2 linked regions of the Daphnia pulex genome follow. The protein of the gene in region 2 purifies or fractionates together with the protein of the main gene of each other region. This does not show direct contact. Links are inferred from orthologs where the notes say so. Each region holds a gene or a part of one and is shown on either strand. Other genes may lie near its edges.

The links.
Region 1: the proteins of E3 ubiquitin-protein ligase RNF13-like (region 2) and AP-3 complex subunit delta-1-like purify together in Homo sapiens (affinity purification with mass spectrometry; 3 studies listed by BioGRID and IntAct, counting the BioPlex papers as one, with this or other methods). This does not show direct contact. The link is inferred for Daphnia pulex from reciprocal best matches to the Homo sapiens genes RNF13 and AP3D1.

What each region holds. Positions count from the first base shown.
Region 1 is NC_060021.1:780,467-791,153, reverse strand, and holds the end of AP-3 complex subunit delta-1-like, read right to left. Parts: coding exon 10,679-10,687; intron 10,605-10,678; coding exon 10,476-10,604; intron 10,401-10,475; coding exon 10,260-10,400; intron 10,189-10,259; coding exon 10,059-10,188; intron 10,001-10,058; coding exon 9,861-10,000; intron 9,530-9,860; coding exon 9,456-9,529; intron 9,298-9,455; coding exon 9,198-9,297; intron 9,115-9,197; coding exon 8,920-9,114; intron 8,856-8,919; coding exon 8,707-8,855; intron 8,637-8,706; coding exon 8,391-8,636; intron 8,331-8,390; coding exon 8,168-8,330; intron 8,096-8,167; coding exon 7,878-8,095; intron 7,811-7,877; coding exon 7,329-7,810; intron 7,250-7,328; coding exon 7,096-7,249; intron 6,995-7,095; coding exon 6,484-6,994; intron 6,417-6,483; coding exon 6,144-6,416; intron 6,068-6,143; coding exon 5,900-6,067; intron 5,826-5,899; coding exon 5,700-5,825; intron 5,629-5,699; coding exon 5,539-5,628; 3' UTR 5,216-5,538; downstream 1-5,215. Other genes in the region: uncharacterized protein LOC124194089, read left to right, coding at 2,802-3,512, 4,700-4,810, 4,871-5,029. UniProt on the Homo sapiens protein: Part of the AP-3 complex, an adaptor-related complex which is not clathrin-associated. The complex is associated with the Golgi region as well as more peripheral structures.
Region 2 is NC_060019.1:4,263,904-4,275,026, reverse strand, and holds E3 ubiquitin-protein ligase RNF13-like, read left to right. Parts: upstream 1-4,775; 5' UTR 4,776-5,136; coding exon 5,137-5,512; intron 5,513-5,567; coding exon 5,568-5,630; intron 5,631-5,696; coding exon 5,697-5,736; intron 5,737-5,797; coding exon 5,798-5,903; intron 5,904-5,996; coding exon 5,997-6,171; intron 6,172-6,253; coding exon 6,254-6,441; intron 6,442-6,506; coding exon 6,507-6,622; intron 6,623-6,688; coding exon 6,689-6,735; intron 6,736-6,798; coding exon 6,799-6,914; 3' UTR 6,915-7,198; downstream 7,199-11,123. Other genes in the region: 1-acyl-sn-glycerol-3-phosphate acyltransferase gamma-like, read left to right, coding at 91-277, 349-518, 606-694, 759-831, 891-1,081, 1,144-1,291, 1,367-1,595, 1,666-1,754; alpha-taxilin-like, read right to left, coding at 2,337-3,002, 3,073-3,177, 3,252-3,574, 3,658-3,856, 3,925-4,086. UniProt on the Homo sapiens protein: E3 ubiquitin-protein ligase that regulates cell proliferation. Involved in apoptosis regulation. Mediates ER stress-induced activation of JNK signaling pathway and apoptosis by promoting ERN1 activation and splicing of XBP1 mRNA.

The sequences.
Region 1 (10,687 bases), on a different chromosome or scaffold from region 2:
TACCAACTTGGATCTAACAAGTAATTCGTGTACACCCCGAAAAACTCCTGAAACAGTGACAATGAAAAAATGATATAATGCTTGTTATAGACTATTACTACCATGGAATTATTTAATACTCAGTAGAAGAGAGTGGGCACTTTTCCTTCTGGTACATTTAAGAGCTGCCATCCGTATGATGTTACAAACTACTTTAACCAGGGGATGAATTCCAGGTTAAGAAAAAGACTGCAACTCGTTCAAAGAACCTTATTTCCTCCCATGCCGTGCCCGATGAAGCTTTAGCTCATCATTGAATGTGGTCAGATATTCAGCGGAGATGCCAACACAATTTATTTATTTTTTTCGAAATTTGCTAGCTACATAAATTTTGGTATCACATAAAAATCCCCAAAGCCGTCAGCTGAATCAGGTCTACGCACATATAGCCGGGTCACAATCCTAGTAGGTAAATTTTAACGTAGGACTGATGCAAGTTGCAAATTTCCAAGACACTGTATAAAAATGTTTTACACGCAATGTAAATGAATAAGGGAATAAAAGAATAAGTGATGATCACTCAGTTTTTGTGCAGTCTGTAGTCATGTTAAAGAAATTTTAATAATTAAAAAATCATCATTCAGCAGCAAAAAAAGCATCATTATAGTGTTGTGAATAAATTAAGTTTGCTTCATGCAGCGCTCCACATATTCGGTTTTAGACATCGGTCAATGCAGCGGGAGCAGAGATGGATTGGACCAGGGAGGTGATGCAATCATTTTAGGTTCCATTCAAGATGAGAACTGCATCCTAACATGGCAGCTACAATCTTTGTAATTTCAGCATGATTAATCATTTGAATGAGAATATAATTATGGTTTGCACAAATTTACCTGCCATTGCTGTTGTTTGTCAATTTCTTCCATTTGTGCTCCAGCTTCAAATATTATTGGAAGCCAAAAAGATTGAAGCTGATTAGGATCCATAAGGCAGAACAGCAAAGGAATAAAAACCTAGTGAAAACCTTTTTATAAGAAATAACCGTTACATGGCTAAATGCTGGTTAAGAGATGACAAATGCCAAACAAAGACTATAAGCTTAGTTTTTAATTTAACAAACCTTTAGTGGATGACAATTGGCCAAAAGAGTTTAGTAGTTTTTTTTTTTTTTTTTTTTTGCTGCAGACGATGCCGAGTCGGTGTGACTTATTTTGTAAACATCAGTCTGCTCGTGCAAGTGCTGCCACCTCTGAGCCTCATATCAAAGACATTGCTGGAGTAGGGCATTAGGGCAATCTTCTCGTTGCGCACCTAAACTCTAACCAATTAAAAATTTAATAAACCTGTAACAGTATCATATTTTGTAAATAGCACATATCACGAAAATATAAATAAATGGATAAGAATTAAATCTGGATTGGAAAACGTCTGGGATGCCCGCCCAGGGAGCAGGGACTTGAACGACTAAGGACCTGCTATCATGCTGCTATGGACTAACATAGATGATTGCTCCGTTCCAAAGGTTTAGAAAAAATAGTAATTTATAATAAGTTATCAATTTACGTATAATCTAGTCAAAACTCACGCAAAACACTAAAGGGTTTCCGTTTTCGCGTTCATTTATTCCTTCAGCGTTGCGGATTTCATTACTTCTAATCTTCTAAAGGTAGCAATTTAGATTTTTATTTGCTAATGTCAGAAAATCTTTCTTATTATTTCGACATTAAAAAATTTTCTATTATTCATTTTTGCATTTCTTATAATCAATAAACTGGTAAACAATATGTAGTTGACGACTGCTATGGTGACTACCACATGATGACTACCATATAGTTACTTTCTCTTTGGACTCAAATCACTCGGCATTACTAGCAACCTGTATTATTGGTTATTTTCTAGATTAGCTTTTCTCTATGGGAAACGATAGACAAATTCACCCAACGTATAATATCTGTACTATATAAATCCAATCATATCATCAATCAATATATGGGTTGTATTTTTTAACAAAAAGTATGCGGTCGATTGCTTGGTCATGTGCCGAGCGCAACCGACAAGTTTCTCTTCTCAAAGCTCATTTGGTTTCACATATTGTAGTGACAAAACAACATGTATGTAAGTTTATTCTCCATATAGCTTTTCTGTGTGCACAGTGGCCCAAGTGGTATCAAACTAAATTGACAAGAATTGAAACTCCCGCTCCCGGAAAATTAATCCTTAGTGGATATGACGTTTCTCTAAACACCCATAAAATAAAATTGGCTAGTTATTTCTATTTTAATTCAATTAAGTAAATAATCTCACTAAAAACTAGCTGTATGGAATTAAAGTTTTCTCTTTTGAGTTTAAAGAATTTTCTTTTGATAACAGCCCGATTGTTTGCTTTTATAGCTCCTAAATGGTCGAACGAAAAAAAAAAGGTAACGTGAAACCAATTTCTTTTCGATTTCAGACTTTGATTTACTGTTGCGTTCACCGCGAATTTTTTCCGGGAATTTTTTTTTCAGATTATTTTGTCTTGTGAAAAAGGAGGTACCTTGGCTTGTATAAAGAAATACACAAGTGAAAATACATACAATATCATCCAAGTCAACTTTCTCCGCAGCACTGCCCCCTCCCTTTTGTAAGCATTTCAACTCGATTCCATCGGACAACAGGGTGTACAACAACAACAAGAGCTAAGAGGCGACTTTCATCTCCGGGCTGAATGTTTGTGAGTGTGTGTGCTGTCGCCGTCATCCTGCAGGCTTTGCTGGACTTGTAAAGCAACAGCTTTCTCGTCAGAACGTCTTGAGAAGAGTTGTGCAGCGCAAGTCAATAGCATGTCCTCTTCCGTGTGTTACGTCGCCGTATTTTCTAAGCTGCTGCTGCTGCTGTTTGTTCTTATCGCATCAGTGTTGATCCAATCAGTGGCGCCCAATGTCTTTTTCCCGGTGGAAACGAGCAGGGATTTAGTTCAGTACCGATCGTTGAAAGATATTCTCTTCCGATCGCAATCGGAAGACAACGACCAGCAGCATTCCATCCAATCGCCGGTCGTGGCCAGTTTCCGGCCAGCCAATCCCAGTCCGACTTTGGCTTCTTCGCCTCACAGTGGAGCAGTTGGCGTCTCTAAAATTCGCTTCCTGGATGCGGATGAGTTTTTCGTCCCTAATTTTTCGCCGGTTCCGCATTCCGAATTCATTCCACCGGCGGCTCAAACTGAAGGGAGAAGGGCCAATTCACCTAATTTGAATCCCGATCACACCACTATCGTCAGACAGGCCAAAAGCCCAGAGATTAATCAATCTCCCATCGGTACTTCGGTCACTGGTAGTCCTGCTCAGGATCGCTGGCCATGGCCTTACTCGAAGCCCATCAAACAGGCGGTGAATATTCAGAGTCGCCAGCAACAGTCTCCATCTTTAATTGTCAAAAAATCGGTGGCCAAACCTTATCGGCTGCTAACCAGAACTTCATCTTGCCCTAAACTGCTGCACGACTTGACCATTACCTGCTCTTGGCCAAAGCAGCAGCAACTTCAGCAACCAGTGGTAAATTTGAATTTTCCAATTATTGCATTGAATTATTTGGCTATTACTTAAATTACTTTAAGAGCGGATATGTTAGAGCGTAACTTAATTTTTAGCCTACATTTTCTTGTTCGAGGAAAGTTCCGTCATGTCCAAAAAGAAACATTTTATGGGTGGCAATAAGTTGTGTTGGTCAGGAGAAATATATAGTGAACCAGCTGTGTAGATAGTGTGCTGCGGCTTTCTACGCATGTCCCAGCACGGAAATGGATATTGCTGTTTGCTTATGCGTGAAAAGGGATATTTACATTGCTGGCAATGCGAAAAAAAAAACATGTGGTTATCTATGGACTGCATATAGCCAAAAGCCATCACCTAAATTGAAGAATAGTATTTGAAGAGCGGCCAGCAACTCCAAAAGCGGCAGCGATAGACACAGCCGGGGGATTTTTACTTTCTCCAACACTTTCTCCAGCGCTGGCGCTGTAGGCGGAGAACGTGCGATGCATGTAATGGGGTGCTGCATTACCCACGTCTGTATATGCTGTGCTTCAAGTTATATAATAACGCCACGAAAAAACTCCATTTAAATAATAAATTGTTGGATAGTTTGGAAGAGTGAAAAATGGGGGCCCAAATGGAACTTTAAACGATTTCATTCTTAGATTTTAATTAGTGAAACACACGCCATTAGTTTATCCTTAAACCGGAGGCGAAATAATAAGTGGCAATGGTTTCGTTCGACTTTTTCCTTCTGTTTTTTAAAAACGAAAGAGAAATGTCCAGGGAGAACGTGTGCTGGATGGTTGAACGCAACAACACAATATCTTTTTATATTGCACTTCTGTTCATCTTATTCTTTTAGATTGACGAAGCATTTCCTTAGCTGTTACTACATCTTGACTCCTAATTCTTGAAACCTGCTAGTATTTTCACAACTTGCAAATTAGAAGTTTCTTACTTGCATAATAAGAAAGCTCGTCTAGACGACGTGCAAGAAAGTTAACATTTTTTGTGATGTCAGTCTCAAAGATGGAAAAAACCTTTTTGGCGATTTCGTTTTTCTAATGGTTGGTAGCTAAAGGACCTTCCGCATCAGAAAGCGTGAAATACTAAACCTAGATTATTATAAAGACATTGTCAACTTTTAAAAAAGTTACCTCTTCGTAAAATGTCTAGTCATAATTATTTGTTTTATTACAATGCAGGAGTTTCAATGGTACAAAACGCAACACAGAAGTGTGGCCGAAACGCAAAACAATTTGCTGGAATCTACAATTAAAACACCGATCGCTTTTGGAACTCAAATGATCCACAAGGTAAATTATTATCTAGAAATATTTAATTTGTTCTATACTTTAATTAATTTCATTTGATAGGATCCCCGTTATGGAGTGTCCGTCGTTTCCGACTCGGCTTACCTGACCATCCGCCAATTGAAACCCCAAGATTGTGGGTCTTACATCTGTGAGGCGGTGGATGTCCACAATGCGACAGTCATATCTAATACTGAATTTCTCATTTTCTTATGCTACTAAAAGTTTGTTACGCCCAGGTATTTAGTTTTTCTCTAGCAGGTATACCCATTGTAGTAAAACTGGATTTTACTATGCATGCTTGTAATCGGATTTATATACGCTTTTGTACTGTTTGTTTTTTTTCTTTCTTTCCTTTCTGTATCTCAGATTAAACAGTCTCAAAAGGACGCCAATTATACATTAAGATAATCAACCAAATTGTATATTTCTCTTTCGCTGTTGTTTGTTTTGAAGTTTACGGAAGCTGAGCACAAGATGATTCATGACCACCGATCCAATTGCGCTTCACCATCTCGCCCAACCCTTATCCACTTAGAAAAATACAGTAACATGTTAAGATTGGATTGACATTAGAATTCAACTTGGAATAGGTTAACAACTTCAAAAAGGCTCTTTTTTTTTCTCTCTTTTCGGCTTTTCGGTTATAAACTTCCCTTCAGGTTTTGCATTGAAACATCATCTTAGGTTTAATGCGTCAAACCGGATCGACAGGAGCGACACGTTTTGTATTAAGCAAACATTTGCCGCATTTCTTCCATGACCGACGATACCAACGACGGGTTACTGCTCTTTCCGTAAATGCTCAGCCGACCATCCGCCTAATTACAATTGATAGATTATTAAATAAAAATCTGGCAACACACCTAAATCATTTTCTAGCTGCAAATACCTGTGATTTCATGAGAATGCAGAGATGATGAGCGGTGGAGTGGCGACAGTATAACGAGGCGGATGTTCCCGAACTATCCATTTCGACTAAACGCATATTAAGCTCTCTACTGACACGATCAATCGCCTATAGACATTTAGAATTCACGTATTAAAAATTAATAATAGATTAAAAGACCAATCTTTAAAAAATGGCTGTACCTGAGATAAAGCAATTCCTTCGCACACTGCCTTGTCTTTGCCGATCAGTTCCTGGGAAGCCAATAATTCGGCAAATTGATCGCCACTGATGGGGTCAGAAGAGAGGAAGACGCTACATGGAATTTGCAGTTTGAAATCCAACTTTTCCGAGACAGATCCGTTTTCTCCCTTCACATTTATAGCAAAAGAATTCAATTAATATCACCCGAGGGGGAAAATTAGTAGTATTTGGTAGACTTGATACCTGAGTCATGTAGGTCAAAACACCTCTGAGCTGGTGCAGCATGGTGCTGTCGGCGACAGCGAAAGCAAATGGAATTTCGACTCGGCTTTGGCTGGCTAACTGGTGAGGCAATTCCACCCCGTCTTGCTCGTGCTGCCCACGGCATAGACGGGCGTTGGTAGAGTCGACCACATTAAAGATCATCGAATGAATCAGTTTGCCACTGCGATTGTGGAGCTGTACCGGGACTAATACTTGGTGCTGATCGTGAGGTACAGCGACAACACGATATTTCTGCAACAAACAAAAGTGAAATGAACAACTATAAACGATTTCGGGTTACCTATGGTTGAATTTTTACCATGACGAGACGTTTGTCATCTACTAAGGATTTCCACGCAATCGCGACCGGAGCAATGACACTATCCGACAGATGATTGTTTTGGTCATCAAAGTCTTTGATGTCCTTCTTCTTCTTTTCTTTTTTGGCTTTCTTCTCTTTCTTGTCTTTCTTTTCCTTCTTGTCTTTTGTCTTCTTGGCCGTCTTCTGGGAGTCGGCCGCCGTGGCAGTTTCATCGATGGTCAGTTCACCTTTCGCGACGACTTTCTTTTCCTTGGCGTCGTTGCCGTTGCTGGCCGACAACCAAAAGTCAAGATCGTCATTGAGGTTAACGCCCTTAGTCGTCGGTGGCAGCGGCGGCGGTGCATTCTCCTCTTTCTCCTGTTTCGTTTTCTTTCTCTTGGCTTTCTCTTCCTTGAGACCTTCTACCCCGTTTCTCGACTTGGGTTTCTTGGATTTGGCTGGGATTGGTGGCGCAGCTGCCGGTTCCAGGGTTACTCGCACCACCGGTTTTTCTTTCGGATAAGAATGGCTGTGGGAAAAATGGCAAATGGCAAAGAAATTCCCAAAAAGTAGAGCGTGAAATTACATAACAACCAAATGAAAGCCAAGCCCATAATAAAAAAAACATACTCTTCTAAATCAATGTTCAATGCGCGGTGGGGGTCCGTCTGTGGTCGCCCATCGTCTTCAGAGTCCGACAATCGCGCTCCTTCCGGCAACTCCATGGTAGATATCACTTGTGGAGCAACAATCTCGGCGGCGGCCTCTTCCTCGTCGCTGGAACCTATTATAACCAGAGAGGATAACAATCAAACGTTATTACACTGCAATAAAAAATATTGTTGAATTGAACAGGTATTTACCCTTCTTTTTCTTCTTTTTCTTGTCCCGCTTGGATCGATGTTTCTTGGAATCGGAAGACGCTTCCTTGTTTCGTTCGAGCTCCAAGTATTTGTCGGAGAGTTTCCTACTAGTGGAGACCTGAAGTGGAACGGACAAGTTGATGGACATGACGGGGATCTCTTCGGTCGGAGATAATAATTGCGAGGAAGACGAAGGTGACCGTCGCGCTTGGCTGGAACCCTTGAGATAATGCGGGTTGCTGGCCTGCTCGACGCGAAGGGCTTCGCGGCGCACCTGCTGCTGCCGAAGCGTCTGCTGGCGGACGTCGTCTGACTGGGCCTGGTCACCTTCGTCGTAAACGCCTTCGCCTTGGTAGCCGTCGCGGAAGTCGGGCGCGGATGTGCTCGACTTGTAGAAAATATCAAGGGACCCTCCTCCGTCAGCTTTGGGTTCTTCGTCCGACTCTGGTTCCGGTTCGTTGATCCAGGCGTCCAAATCCAAACTAAACGAGCAGAAATTGTAAACCAAAAGTTTCTCAACGAAACGGTTTTTTCAAATTTGTGGCTTACCCTTCAGGTAATGGAACTTTGCGCTGAGCTTTAGGCGCTACTGGATTCAGCTCGCCTTGGAAGAGCTGCATCAATTCGTTGACAACGTCTCCTTCGCCAGCGTCCTGCAATTTGGAAATCACTTTGAGGACGTGGACAGCGGTGCTGGCGCGCTCCTGAACCTCCAAATCGGCACTTTGCATGAACGGAGTCAGTCGCTCTTGAAGGACACACAGCATCTTTCAAGACAAAAACAGGGAAATGTTGAAATAGAATTTGAATTGGATGAAGCCATAAACAAAATTTAGTACCAATTGTGCTTTCTCTTTCTCATCCGCCGTGGATGCTTTGTGAAGAATGTGAGCGTAAAGCTTCATCAGATTGTGGATGAAAACAGCTTGAATGTGACCAGGGAGTACAGTCACTTTGCTTTTCAATATACATTCTAAAACTGCTTCGGGCTCTTTAAGATGCCTATAAAAATAAAAGATATTATTTAATTGTTTCCAACGGAGTTACACAAAAAATCCTTACGATGCGAATTCTCCACAGATCCAGGCGGCTGCGTAAAGCACTTCGCACATGGAAGAGAAGGCCACTTGTCCGGTGATTCCACGAATAGCAAAGCCACTCGATGTTTCCAACAAGAGAGCCATTTGTTCAACAGAAAATGGACGAATGGCAGGAACGCGGATCGCTACATCCATCAGCTGAGAAGCCACAACGTGACCCTGGCGGAGGCCTTCCATTCGACTCAAATCCACCAAAACGCTTATGTACCTAAAAAAAGGAAGAGATGGAGCGGTTGAGTTTTTCAATCAATTCATTCACTACGAGTACTCTAGAATACCATTCAAAATTGGTAATGAAATGATAATTATCTTGAGAGCAAATTTCGATGATTTTAGAAAGAAGCTCGTCACGGTACTGCGTTCCTTCTGCTCGATCCATGTGCACCATCAGTTTCTTGACAATTTCCATGAGGTTCTTCTTTGACACCTTTACAAAACCAAAAGAAACAATTTAAAAATTGGTTTATTTTTAAAGAAAATGTGAAGCGAACCATTCCGTAGAGAAGGTCTAGAGCGCGTAACCGTATCGATTCGTCTTTATCATCAAGGCAAAGCAGGATCAAATCCTTGTGCGCTTGAACGGATTTCGGGTGCGTTTTCAAGATCTTGGACATGGCTAGTAGACCAAGGTATTTCAAATTCTGATCAGAGTCTTCGATCAAAATACGCAACTTCTGAACACACAGCTAAATTAAAAAAATGGAAAATGAGTTGATTTCTTTTGAAAATATCGAATATGTTGAAACGATAAGGGATCGGTTGGTGGTACCTGAATAGATGCACTGTGACTAGGCATGCCGGTCGATATGGAAATTAGAACCGCAATGACAGTGTTGATACATTCATAGAGCAGCGACATCGCTGAAGTGCTGGAAAAAATTATGCGATATCGATTAAAAATAATGTTGGCAAAAATGAATGAAAGCAGCAAATAATCAAATATGGCGACAGATCAAAATTGATAGTCTAGCGCAAAGCTAGTGTTGCACAAATCAAATAGGAAGGTGTTGACATTTTTTGTTGTTACCTGTGAATCAAATTAGTTAAAGGTTCAATCAGCTTTTTGCCAAGGCGAGGCTCTAAGGGTGTTAAAGCTCCAAACTGTAAATACACAAAATAATAAGCAAGTGAAAACAAAAAAAATTTCAAGGGAATGCGGTCAATATTGATCTACTAAGGGAGGAAATGAAATCCTAGTCAAGCCTTACAATTTTATCGCTCTTTTCACGACTGATACCTTTTTATTATGGCTATAAGTGGTTGGCTTATGCACTTGCTTAGGCGAGAATCGCACTGTGTCATTGCATTCAACTAATAAGAACGTATCGGATTATGGAACAATTTTGACGAAAACATCGATTCTTTTTCGACCATTAAACTTTGTTAGTCTAGAATACCCAGTATACTGTACCCCATCATTACGGAGGCTTACCAATTTAATGATCTTGATGAGCATCCAATTATTGGTAGATGATGTCATCAATTTGAAGAAAATTGGGGCCAGGCTGAGATAATTTTTGGGGTTCTTTCTGGCCAGCTCACAAATGACGTTAACAGCGGCCGATTGTACACCTACGCAAAAGCAATCGATAATGGGCTGCGTTCAGTCACGTATCTCTAGATACGATACCGGGATCCGGATCTTCCAGCTTTTCTTTTAGACGGGGGAATGCAGGCCGCAAGGCATCGGGAAACGAAAGGAAAACTTTATACATAAGCAACACGGCTTTTTTCCTTATGTAAGGCTTAGTTGAAGACAACTGGAGAAAAACATTCAAGGGAAAATCAATAAAAAATCCAATGAATGAGAAGAGAACAAAAAGGAACATACCAATGTCATCAGATCATTTGCTAGGTCTCTGGCTAAATCTTGATTGATGAAACATGCCAATCCTGATAATGTCACACCAGCGTCGTACTGATTTTGACTACTCAAATCTTTCCTGATCATATTTGTGGTTAACATGAGTACCTATTAAGAAAGTGTAATAACAAAAAATTAGCTATAAAAACAAACAGAGAAAATCAATTAAATATAATCCAGTACCTCAGTGTCTTGATGGAAGCTTTGGGATGCAGCTAAATATCCTATTCTTTTGAAAGTGAATTTATTAGAGCTCATAACCTCAATTACATTGAAGCCAGCCCAGCTGATGTCATAGCCAATCATTTGAAGCTAACAAGGAAGTAAACATATTGATTACGTTAAAAATGACACAATTATCAATGTAATAAATCAAATAACCGTACATATGACAG
Region 2 (11,123 bases):
ACTTAAATTAATAAATTTGTACTAACTCGGTTATGTTTGATGAACACAGGCTGAACACGTGTATATCGACTCGAAATTTCGCATATTAAAATGGTGCCAAATATTAACTTCAAGGAGGGATTATCATTTGCCGGATTTGTTGTGATTGGCGTAAATTTCCTTATTTCCGGATTATTGATTAACTTTGTTCAACTTTTACTGTGGGTTTGTTTAAAACCTCTCAGTCCTTTTTTGTTCCGCAAACTTAATTATTATTTCACTTATGCAGTTTGGGGCCGTAAGTAAATTTATTAATTATATTTATTATTATATTTATCTTTTATCAAACGTTATTGTAATTTAAAACAGAAATGGAGTTTCTTGCAGAGTGGTGGTCGAGTTCTACATGCACAATCTATACTGATGATCAGACATGGGAAAAATTGGGTAGTGAACATGCAGTCCTCCTACTCAACCATTCATATGAAGTAGATTGGCTATTTAGCTGGTTTTTCTGTGAGCATGTTAGGATGTTAGGGGTAAGCATTCTTACCTTTGGTTATTCTTAAATTATCTAAATAATTCATTTATATTTATTCCTTGCATACTTTACTGTAATAATTCAGGGTGCCAAAGCATTGGTTAAAAAATCCTTCAAGAAAGTACCTATTATTGGATGGACAGCCTTTTTTTCAGAAAATGCATTTCTGGAGAGGTATTACATTTATTTTTTTATTATTATTATTTTTACCTTTATTTGCCACATTTTAAATTTATAGGAGCTGGGAAAAAGACAAGACAACATTAGAGAACCAATTATCTGAGATGACTAACTGTCCTGATCCTGTCATGGTAAGTTGAATGCCTAATGAAAATAAATTACCAGAGACTACAGTTTTCACATTTTTTAGTTACATTTGTTTGCTGAGGGAACAAGATATACTCCAGCTAAGCATGCAGCATCTGTTGAATTTGCTCAAAAAACGGGCCTTCCACCTTTGAAACATTTGTTGGTTCCTCGTACAAAGGGTTTTGTTTCGTCAATTGAAAAGCTTAGGGGGAAGTTCCCTGCAATCTACTGTGCTACTATGGTGTTTGATATGTAAGGTTAAAAAAAAAACTTTTTGAACATCTTTTTTATGTTGGTATTTTGATTGTCAACAGTAAAGAAGCTGCTGCGCCTGTGTTCAAAAGTTTAGTACTTGGCCGCCCTATCGCAGCCGAAGTATTAATTGAGCGCATACCTCTTGACGACATTCCAGAGGATAGCGATAAAGCAGCTAATTGGCTACATCAGAACTTCCATCATAAAGTATTGGCAAAAAATAAATTACTCTGTTTTATTTTAATGATATTTTTCACGTTTATTTTGTTTGATTGTCCTTAGGATAAAATGATTGACATCTTCAAGACCGAAGGACAATTTCCGTCTTCTCTTCCCGGTCATCACTTCAGTGGTCCCATTCGCAGTCATTATCGTCCAAGACGTCTTTGGACATTGCTAACTATTTTCATTACATCTTGTTTAACCCTTCCTCCTGTGTTAAATGCTTTCTACTCGCTGTTCTGCTCTGGATTCGTTAACATCGTGATAGGAGTTGTTTTATTAGGACTAGGTAATATTGAAAACCTAGTGGCCACACATTCTTCTTAAAATTGATGATTCATTTTTGTTCTATTTTTCAGTGATCGTCGCGTTGCTCAAGTTGATGGATCTTAGCAGTGCTAGCAAGGGATCAGAATATGGACACAGTCCTCGTACCAAGACAAACTGAACTATATTTCAAGAAAACATCACACAAATTTTGTTACATTACGAAAAGTTGTTTGATGACTAGAAGTTGCACATGCTGCTAATTTTGCTACTGATTAATTCTGGAAGTTAGACTTCTTGGATCATTTGGATGCCTTTAACCTTCTATTTCGAACGCTAATCTGTGGTGTTCAATGTTATTTTTTTTTCTTGCTTTGTTTAAAGAATTCAAAAATGTTTTGAGACATTTATTGTTATTGATTGATTTCCTTACGCGTCTTACAAAGAAAGCGTTCGAAATTATACTCTAGTTTGTCATAAAATGAATCTATTTGATTTAGAACGGGAGCTATAACATGTTATACTTGGAAGAATAAAGTTGAAAAAAAATTGATAATTACATTTTATCACTCTTCGGTGGAAGTAGTCTACTCATTAATAATTGATCAACAAATAATGTAATTTTTCGTTCTTCATCAATTCTTTAATCAATAGGTTATTAATTTTGTTTTTAAATAAATGCTAGTCACCGAACTAAGTCAATTCTTGTCTAGAAAAATTAAAACGTGCAGTCTTTAAGCATTGTATTTGTTCTTATTCATGACTAGTTAATTACAACAGATTCCTGAGAAGGTGAATCCATAGGAGCGATTATATTAGCGGTTTCAGATGAAGGCGAGTGTACTAGAGCGGAACTTTTCACATCATCGCTCCCAAGAGATAAATCTGTGCAACGTTCAGCTGAAATTTCCAAAACCTGAACAAACTGTTCGCAATTAATATCATGAGGAATTGAAAGCAGAATATTAGCATCTGAATCAATTTCTTTTAAGTTTACTGAAACTTTATTGGCGTCAATGTGACATACATCAGCGCCAGAGTTGCTGCATGGTTGTTCAACATTAGGCAACGTTAAAATTTGTTGGGTTACAGTAGCGACGCTTTCTGAATGAAAACCTTCGTTGGTCGTAGATTCTGATAATTCGCCAAAAGGAGCCATTTTAATAGACTTTATTTCTGTGATTAATGAAGCTCTTTCTGTCTGCATTGCTCTACAGAGCTTTTCAAGTTGGGCCAGTTGCTTTGTGGTAGTAAGGAGTTCAGAATCCCTTTGTTTCTTTTCACTGGCCATTTCGGTTAGCAAAGAGTTACTTTTCTCCCAACGCTGTTTCCAAAGCGCCGTTTCCTTTTCCAAGCTCTTAAGCTTTTTAGTCATTTCATCCATTTGAGTTTTAAAGCAACTGAACTGTTGATTGCTGGCTTTTAATGCCTGTTCAATTAAACAAGAAATTGAAATAATTTAAAATCAACTTATTGGACTAATTGGATGCCAATTTTACCTTTTGAAAGTCATCATATTTGTCTGTATACATAGACAACTGGTGGCGCAGTCCTACTTCCTCCTCCTGCATGACTTGACATTTCTTTTGATATTCAGTTAGATCCTGTTTTAACCAAACATTTTCAATGTATAGAAAAATTTGTATCATATTAGTAAGATAGGCAAAATGTAACAAACCAGCAGAAGTATCTGCTTTTCTTTCAGCAGTTTTTCCTTAGCTTCCGCGGAATCCATTCGTATTTTTGCAAGTTTAGCTTCATTTAGTTGACGTTCAATGTCATACTGCTTCCCTAATTTCTCCAAATGTTGTTCCCTTAAGCTGTACTGGTCACACAGCATCTGTAATTTTGTAGCCATTTCACTGTTTTCATCACGTAATTTTTGATTCTTATCATTGTTCTGCTGAAGTAATGCTGAAACTTCAGAAAGTGTTGTCTGAAATTTAGTAGATACTTCTTTTCTACGTTCTTCTTCTTCACGTACACGTAGCATGCTCTCCTCTACCAAAGAACATTTGTATTTAGTTGATGAACAGGTATCTTGAATGTGTGGGATGGAATGTAGAACAATATGGGAAAACTACCTTTTACAACCTTATTCTGTCTCTGGAGCTCACGGCAGAGTTCTTCTAATCTTGACCGAGCTAAAAGAGACTTCCCATTTTCCATTTGCAGTTGTTCTTTTTCCTTTTGTAAAACTGTCATATGCTTTTCATTATTTTTTAAACTAGCAGCAGTTGATCTGTTTTCTTCCAGCAATTCGGCATATTTTTGTGTTAAAACCTACCAGATTTGTATGAGATTTTCATTATACTGATGTATATAAGTTAACCATCATAAAAATTGCTTACCTTCAGTTTCTCTTCAGTTGTTAAATTGTTCATTGATTTCAGCAGTACTTCAACACCGCGCATTTCTTTTTTACGAGACTTGCTCTTTTCATTTTTCTCTCCACCAGCTTTCAAAATATCTGCAATAGCTTGAGATAATTCTTCAGATTTTGAACTACTCATTGTTTAAAATTTCAACCCTCCACTATGGTCCTATTGAATGACTACGAGGCTTGGCAAATTCAACTTCACCGGAATTTCTACTCTCCTACACTGCTTAAAATGGGGATAAAGCTATTTGTTAGTAACTCGGATGAAAAAGGTGTTCCCAGGGAATTCCACGGAGGCACTTTGGTACGTTTCGGAGGTCTCTAGAAATAGAGTAATATGCAACCAATAACAGTAGGTCCGTCTCTGCTATACTACATGGCCGGACATCCTACGTCCTTTTTACCCGCGAACACCAAAAAAGTACCAAAAAAGTTAAAAAAAAGTCTATCTATCTTGGCCCTTCGCCGTTGGCTGTTGGGAGTGGGAGTGTTGGCTGCTCTTGCCTCTTGGCACTCTTCTCTGGGGGCGGAGTCTTGGTCGATAAACACAAGCAGACGGATGATAATTTCTAGTGTCGAACCTCGCCATCTAGGGCATTGTTATTTTAAAATTCCCAACTTCACAATTATATGAAAGCACGAAAATAACATCTTTTAGTATAAATAATTTTAAGCTAAATGACCAACCAACAATTTTATTACTAGATGTAAGAATAAGAAATCGTGTGATCAGAGAAAACAATTACCCTTCACAGATGGAAGATAGGTTTCCATTTTCTAACGCTACGAGCGTTGAAAGCAACCCTATTTAAAAAATAGGCTCCCCAAAAAGTGAGACATCATTGGCCGCGATGTCGAAACTGTATAGCTACTACGGATTTACGGAATATGTTATTGTCTTATTAAAGAGCGAATCCACTTATTACAGTGTTTTCGTTGATCCCTAGAGCCAAAATTGCTGCAATTTCATATCGTTAACATCAGAATCAAATCGTCTATAAAACCATTTACACTTTTGATCTTATTTAGAGTCGTCTTAAAATGGATTAAAATTTCAGTGATTGTGTAGTGGGTTTTCTTTAGAACTTTTTACCCCCACAAATTCTTTGTGAAACGTTTGTTAGACTTTAAGAGACGTGACAAAATTTCTTATTATCGTTATTATCTTCCCGTAAAGTTTACAATGTCCAACAGTTCACCTTATCTTGTCAACTTTTTGTGTAAATTGATCTTTTTGACATCTGTGTGGGTATGGGTAGTAGAAGCAGATGTTTTAGTAATATCTCTTGATACAAATTCCACAGTAAATGCTTTTCCCAGTTTACCTGCTAATTTTGGGAAAGTCTTACCATTTGATGGATTGATTGGCTGTGTTGTTATTGCTAATCCTCAAAATGCATGTAACACAATTGACCCTCCTCCAAAGAATAGCAATTGTTCTGATAAATGGTTTGTTCTGATCAGACGATATGATTGTAATTTTGTTGACAAAGTTCGTGCTGCTCAGAATGCTAACTATGATGCTGCAATCATTTATAATGTTGGATCCAATCTTATTGGTAAATATGCTTACTTACGATGCATTTATCACTTCTTATAATGATTTTTTTGCAGAGCCTATGGCAGGAGAAGATGATGATGATATTATAATTCCTGCTGTATTCATTGGACAAGATGGTAAATTATGAGTTCTCTTGTTACATTTCAATAGTTTGACTTACAAATTTTTCGTTTGTTTTTCAGATGGACTAAAAATTCAGTCTATTTACCAATATTATGATGGGTATTGGTCATAGCTATCAATGGATAAACTCAATTAATTAAGCTATGATTTTCCTTAAAAGGTACATGCTGTTATTGACCAATGAATTGCCATTCAATCTAAACAGCTATCTTCTACCTTTTGCCATTGTTGTTGCAATCTGTTTTGCAATAATGGTAGTTTTTATGGTAAGTGATTTGATTCATCATTTATTTATACTTAACAACGTTCTAAGTCATGATTTCGGGAATAATCATTTAATGCCTGCATAATTTTTTAAGTTGATAAAGTGTGTCAAGGAGCGCAGACGATCTAGACGTATTCGTTTGCCTTCGTCGTCCTTGAAAACCATCCCTACTAACAAATTCAAGAAAGGGGATCCATATGATACATGTGCCATATGCTTAGAAGATTACGTAGATGGCGATAAACTTCGTATTCTACCTTGTTCCCATGGTTGGATTGGATTTCATTATTATTATTTGTTATTGTTAGTCTTAATACGGCCGTGATAAATGAAACCAATTTTTATTCACAGCTTATCACACCAAATGCATCGATCCGTGGCTTACGCGAAATCGCCGAGTGTGTCCAGTTTGTAAAAGGCGGGTAATTGCGCGAGGTGAACATCTTTCTGATTCTGATTCCGAAACGGAGGACGAATCTAGGCCTCTTCTTCGACCAGGAACGTATGGAACATCAGGAGGAACGTTCACTGATCAAACCGTAATTGTTTTTTTATAAAGGTAATTCTTTGTTTTCCCATGTTGAGACATATTTTGTGGTTTTAGAGAAATACTGGAAACAGAACCCATGGTGTATCAAATGCGTTGGTGTTGGATGAAGAAGCTATCGATAGAGGGCATTCCGTTCTTGTATCTGCAGATTCGATTGTTATTGAAAACGAGTAAATCACAAAAATTTGAATTGCTTGTATTATAACGCAGAATAATTGATTTAGTGTCAATTTTAGGGAAGCTACGGTTTCCGGAAACGACCAAGACGTCGGACAGGTTCACGGTAATATTGTTGTTTTGTATTGTTTCATTTTAGTTTTCTTATTTTTCCTTGCCGTAATCATAGAAATTGATATGTCGTCTGACGGTGAAGCAGAACAGCCGCAGGAAAACCTGAATGCCGATAGTTCCGTGTATTTAACTCCTGAAAGTCACCGCTCACGGGATCCTATGAATGTTTAATATCTCTTGTAATTAAATCTTTAAATTGACATGCTGTTATATCCTCCTATTCATTATATGATTTCAACCTAACTTTTTTCTTCATATATCTGGTTGTGAGAAGATGAATAAGACAAATTTACAATTCTTCCGAAACCCGAATTCTACTGTGTCAGCGACAAAAGCGCATGACAACGTTTACCTTTACAACAAGAAATTTGCTAAATTTAATCAATACACTACATTCGTATGCGACAAAGAAAATATTTGACGAAAGTCGCCCCTTGAACGAAAATGAAACAAGATTTATGTCTTTCCTCTTTGATAATTTCAAATAATTCCACATTGAACTACGATCGTCAACGCTGTTGCGTCAGTAGAGGAATAGTCATTGAGCGCGTCTCGTGTTAGTGTAGTATGTTTATTACTAAACCGTTATCCATTTGCATTTTTTTTTATAATAAAAGTATTCCATTAAATTGGTTATTATTTCAAAATAATAAATATTTCCACAAAAAAATATATTTGATTCAGTTCCTCAAGGGTAGGCGGCAAAACTTTGAATGTTCGTCCTTGAACCTTTTTTCTCCGTGTCTCACTTGAGGGATATTCTACTAGGAATGGATTATAGTGATATGACATTTTTGTTGTGGGAAGGTAGTGCTGTATTTTAGAGAGGTAATTAAATTTACTAGCGCTCGCTGAGACGACAATAAAAATTTCCCTGTGGAAAACGCCGCAAGTACAAGGTTGTTTCATGAGCGCTGCGTACATACGAAAGATATATATTTGTTTAGAGTGATAGATAAATATTTCTTCAAAGAATTGAATATGTGTTCATCACGTAATGCGATCAAATTAATTGCTATTATGTAACATGTGTGGGTAAGAACGTACGCGTAGACTACAATTAGAAAGTTCGGATCTCGGGTAATTAATAAGCAATGGACTTTAAATGAATTGAACGTATACAGATCAGCAGCTGTCTTAAGTGTTAAAAAATTGTTCGTTGCACTAGTCAATATCTGTAGTAAGCGCAACGAAATATTTCGTTGAATGGCTAGTTAGTGCATTGGTGCAACGAAATATTTCGTAGCGGTTTACTACAGCAGATATTAGGTGATGTATATATTAGTTGACGCTATCACGTTTCTCCGACATTTCTTTGCTTAATTCCCAATACAAGAATTTGTCTTCGTTGCTTCTTTCAATAACTCGCGTATTCCACATTTTATTTCGTGATGTTTTATCAGTTATTAGACTATGAAACCAAAACCGATTGAAATTCCGTGTGTTAAAATTTTACCAGTATCAATTAATCATCGATTACACAAGATTCAATTTTTGTGGCGATCAACCACTGAAATTTAAAATATTTTTTTTATTTTTACTGTTTGTTACTGTGGAAGAGTTGGTGTGTTGGATAAGGCGTCACTTTTGAACAGGTGTGCCTTTCCTTGGGGATGGGAGTTCAAATCTCCCAGTGAGCATTAGAAGTTTCTCACACACCCGCTCTGGCGCCACTATGGTGTCACAAATCTAGTGAATCCAGGCATTGTGTTCTCGCCTCCCGAGTGATGACCTCTGGTGAGTTCTCATTGAACCTAGATTCCCAATTGGTAATCAGGCGCTTCAGAAATTCAGTACCTGAAGAGATGCTTGATCTAAAGTCAAGCTAGAGTGACATTCATTTTGGCTAAAATTGTTAGCATTTCTTTCTCGAATTCTTTTACGCGAGCTTTTAACTTTGATTGTATTACCTCTTTCTTAAGTCTAACATGAGCCAAGTCCAAATTGTAATTTGAATTTTTAATTGAAAAATAATGTGAAAAAAATGGCCATGATTGCGGAAAATGCCAACCTTTGCGGATATTCCGTAATTTTGTCCTGGACTCCTTCGATTCTTAATTCTTTTTCGTTGCTACAAAAACAAACCCGAAATTTTGATAGCCCTTCGTCTACAGTCTCGTACATCAACAACCATGGTCTCGTAGCTCGATGATAAATGTTTAAGTGTAATCCGGTGGTACTACCTAATAGTCGGGTCTTGCCTAACACCCACTGTAAATTTCTGGAGGCGACAGTGACACGAAGCTCTCTGGGCGACAGATTTCACGACATAATTTTTTATCTCACGGATTTACTTTGTAGGGTAACAATCGAGTTTGTAAACAATCACGGTTGATGAAGGACAAGTTTGGCTCTGATTAGTCTGAAAAGTGAAAACTAAAGAGTAGCAAAAAGTTACCAACAACACGCTGGCTCCGCGCATGGATTCGTACGCTTTCATACAGTATTTTAGATTAAACGTGGTTGAGAATTAACCCTTTTAAATAATGCGCAACATAGAACTAATACATTTTTGGTTCGATTTACGTACGTCTGAAAGTTTAATCCACTAGTAGGAGTGCACGATTGCGATCTGTGCGCCGATAGATGTTTGGGAATTATTAATTAAAGGAAACACACTCGGAAACACATCGGATGCGATTAAGTAAAAAGGGATTAGATAACAGCAGATAGGGTGGTAAGAGGGGTCAATAAAAAAAATCAAAATTAAGAAAAAGGACGACAAGGATTGAAAGAAGAACAAACTGGTAAAGGCGCCACCTGGGTGGAGTGTGTCGACCAGGTGTCGACTGTTCTCGATCCTTCTTTGCGGAAGCCTGATACCTCAAAACATCGATGCAGAATGTCGAATCGAAAAAGAAAGAAGAAGGGACGCCAATTGATAGTTAAGTTTTTTGCCCAATAGGCATTTGATATAAATTGTGGCCGAAAAAACTAAGTCGTACGAAGATAGTGTCGTACGTAATAGTAATAAATAAAGAAAAAAGTAGTGATTTTGCTAACGGTATTAGGTCATTTCGCCATAACGATGTTTCGAATGTTCGTTAGTGACCCGCAATCTAATCACGTCACTGTTCACCGGGCACACCCTTGACACATGGTCAATTAATCCCGCACAACTGAGCCCACTCGTCGGCAAGCGCATACAACTTATAACCCTCTAGTGTGACTTTAGATCAAGCATCTCGTCCGGCATTACACCTTCAGCACCTGATTACCAATTGGGATTCTAGGTCTGAGCCTCGCCCCGCGTCCGGGACCTCTGTCTAGAATCACTAGATTCGCCGAAAGTTCCATCACAGTGGCGCTAAGCGGGTGTGTGAGCAACTAATTAAGCTCACTAGGGGGTTCGAACCTTTGCCTCAAAGCGCATCTGTTTGTAAGTGACGCCTTATTCAATTCACCCGCTCGCCAACTATATAATCTATTTTTAAAAATGACATTTTTTTAATTTCAGTGGATGAGAATTTCAGAAAAATTCACGATTTTTTCCTAATTTTCATTTGAATAAGATCCAGTCACGGAAACGGAGTGTCCAAAACATCTAGATATTGGCTGAAAGGCAGCAACGCAGCAACAGCTATTGACTTTTATCTAAATTTCTTCAGTGATAGGAATTTGGGAGTTGAATCACTTGCAATTTGCGAGTTAAACAATCGTGCGTTTCTAGTAGAAAATTAATTGAAAGATGGCCGCAACAGTGAATGTGAACTTAAGTTCTGCTTCTGCTGCAATCCTTATTTTCCTTATCAAATCTTTACAATACTACATTAAAAGAACACCTGATGAAACTCTTTTGAAAATTGTTGTTAATTATTTAAAATTTTTAATAATAATTTAATTAAGAGCGAGAGTGGATCGTTGTAAAATAGGCTGCAAAAATTGATTGACAGGATGCTGGTCGTCTGCGATCCAATGGGTAAGCTGAAATATTTAAACAACTGAATGACGATGACTGGACGGCAAATTTATTAAATAAATTCACCTTTACGAGCTGCCTTCGAACCCCATCAGTAATCCGAAAGATTTCAAACCCATCGGCTGACCCGTCAGCCGTTCAAGCGAGCATGCAAAGAGCCGTTTGCTTTGTACTGTGAAATATATTACAATATTAGTTAAGTAAAATTATTAGTTTAATAAAATTTTAGTTAAGTTACTCTACTGATGACAACTAGTCAACTACATATGTTATTTAAAAAAAAACACCAATTTGGAATGACGTAATTAATAAATTTTCGACGCAGCATCCGTTACTAGCTACCGAAATTGCAATGTTGTGAGAAATTCGAAAGAAAGAGTTAACAAACATCGATCAGTTGTTGTGGGATTGTGGCAATAAGTTCAAGCATCTTTATTATTGAACTATGCTAGGAGTTTTAT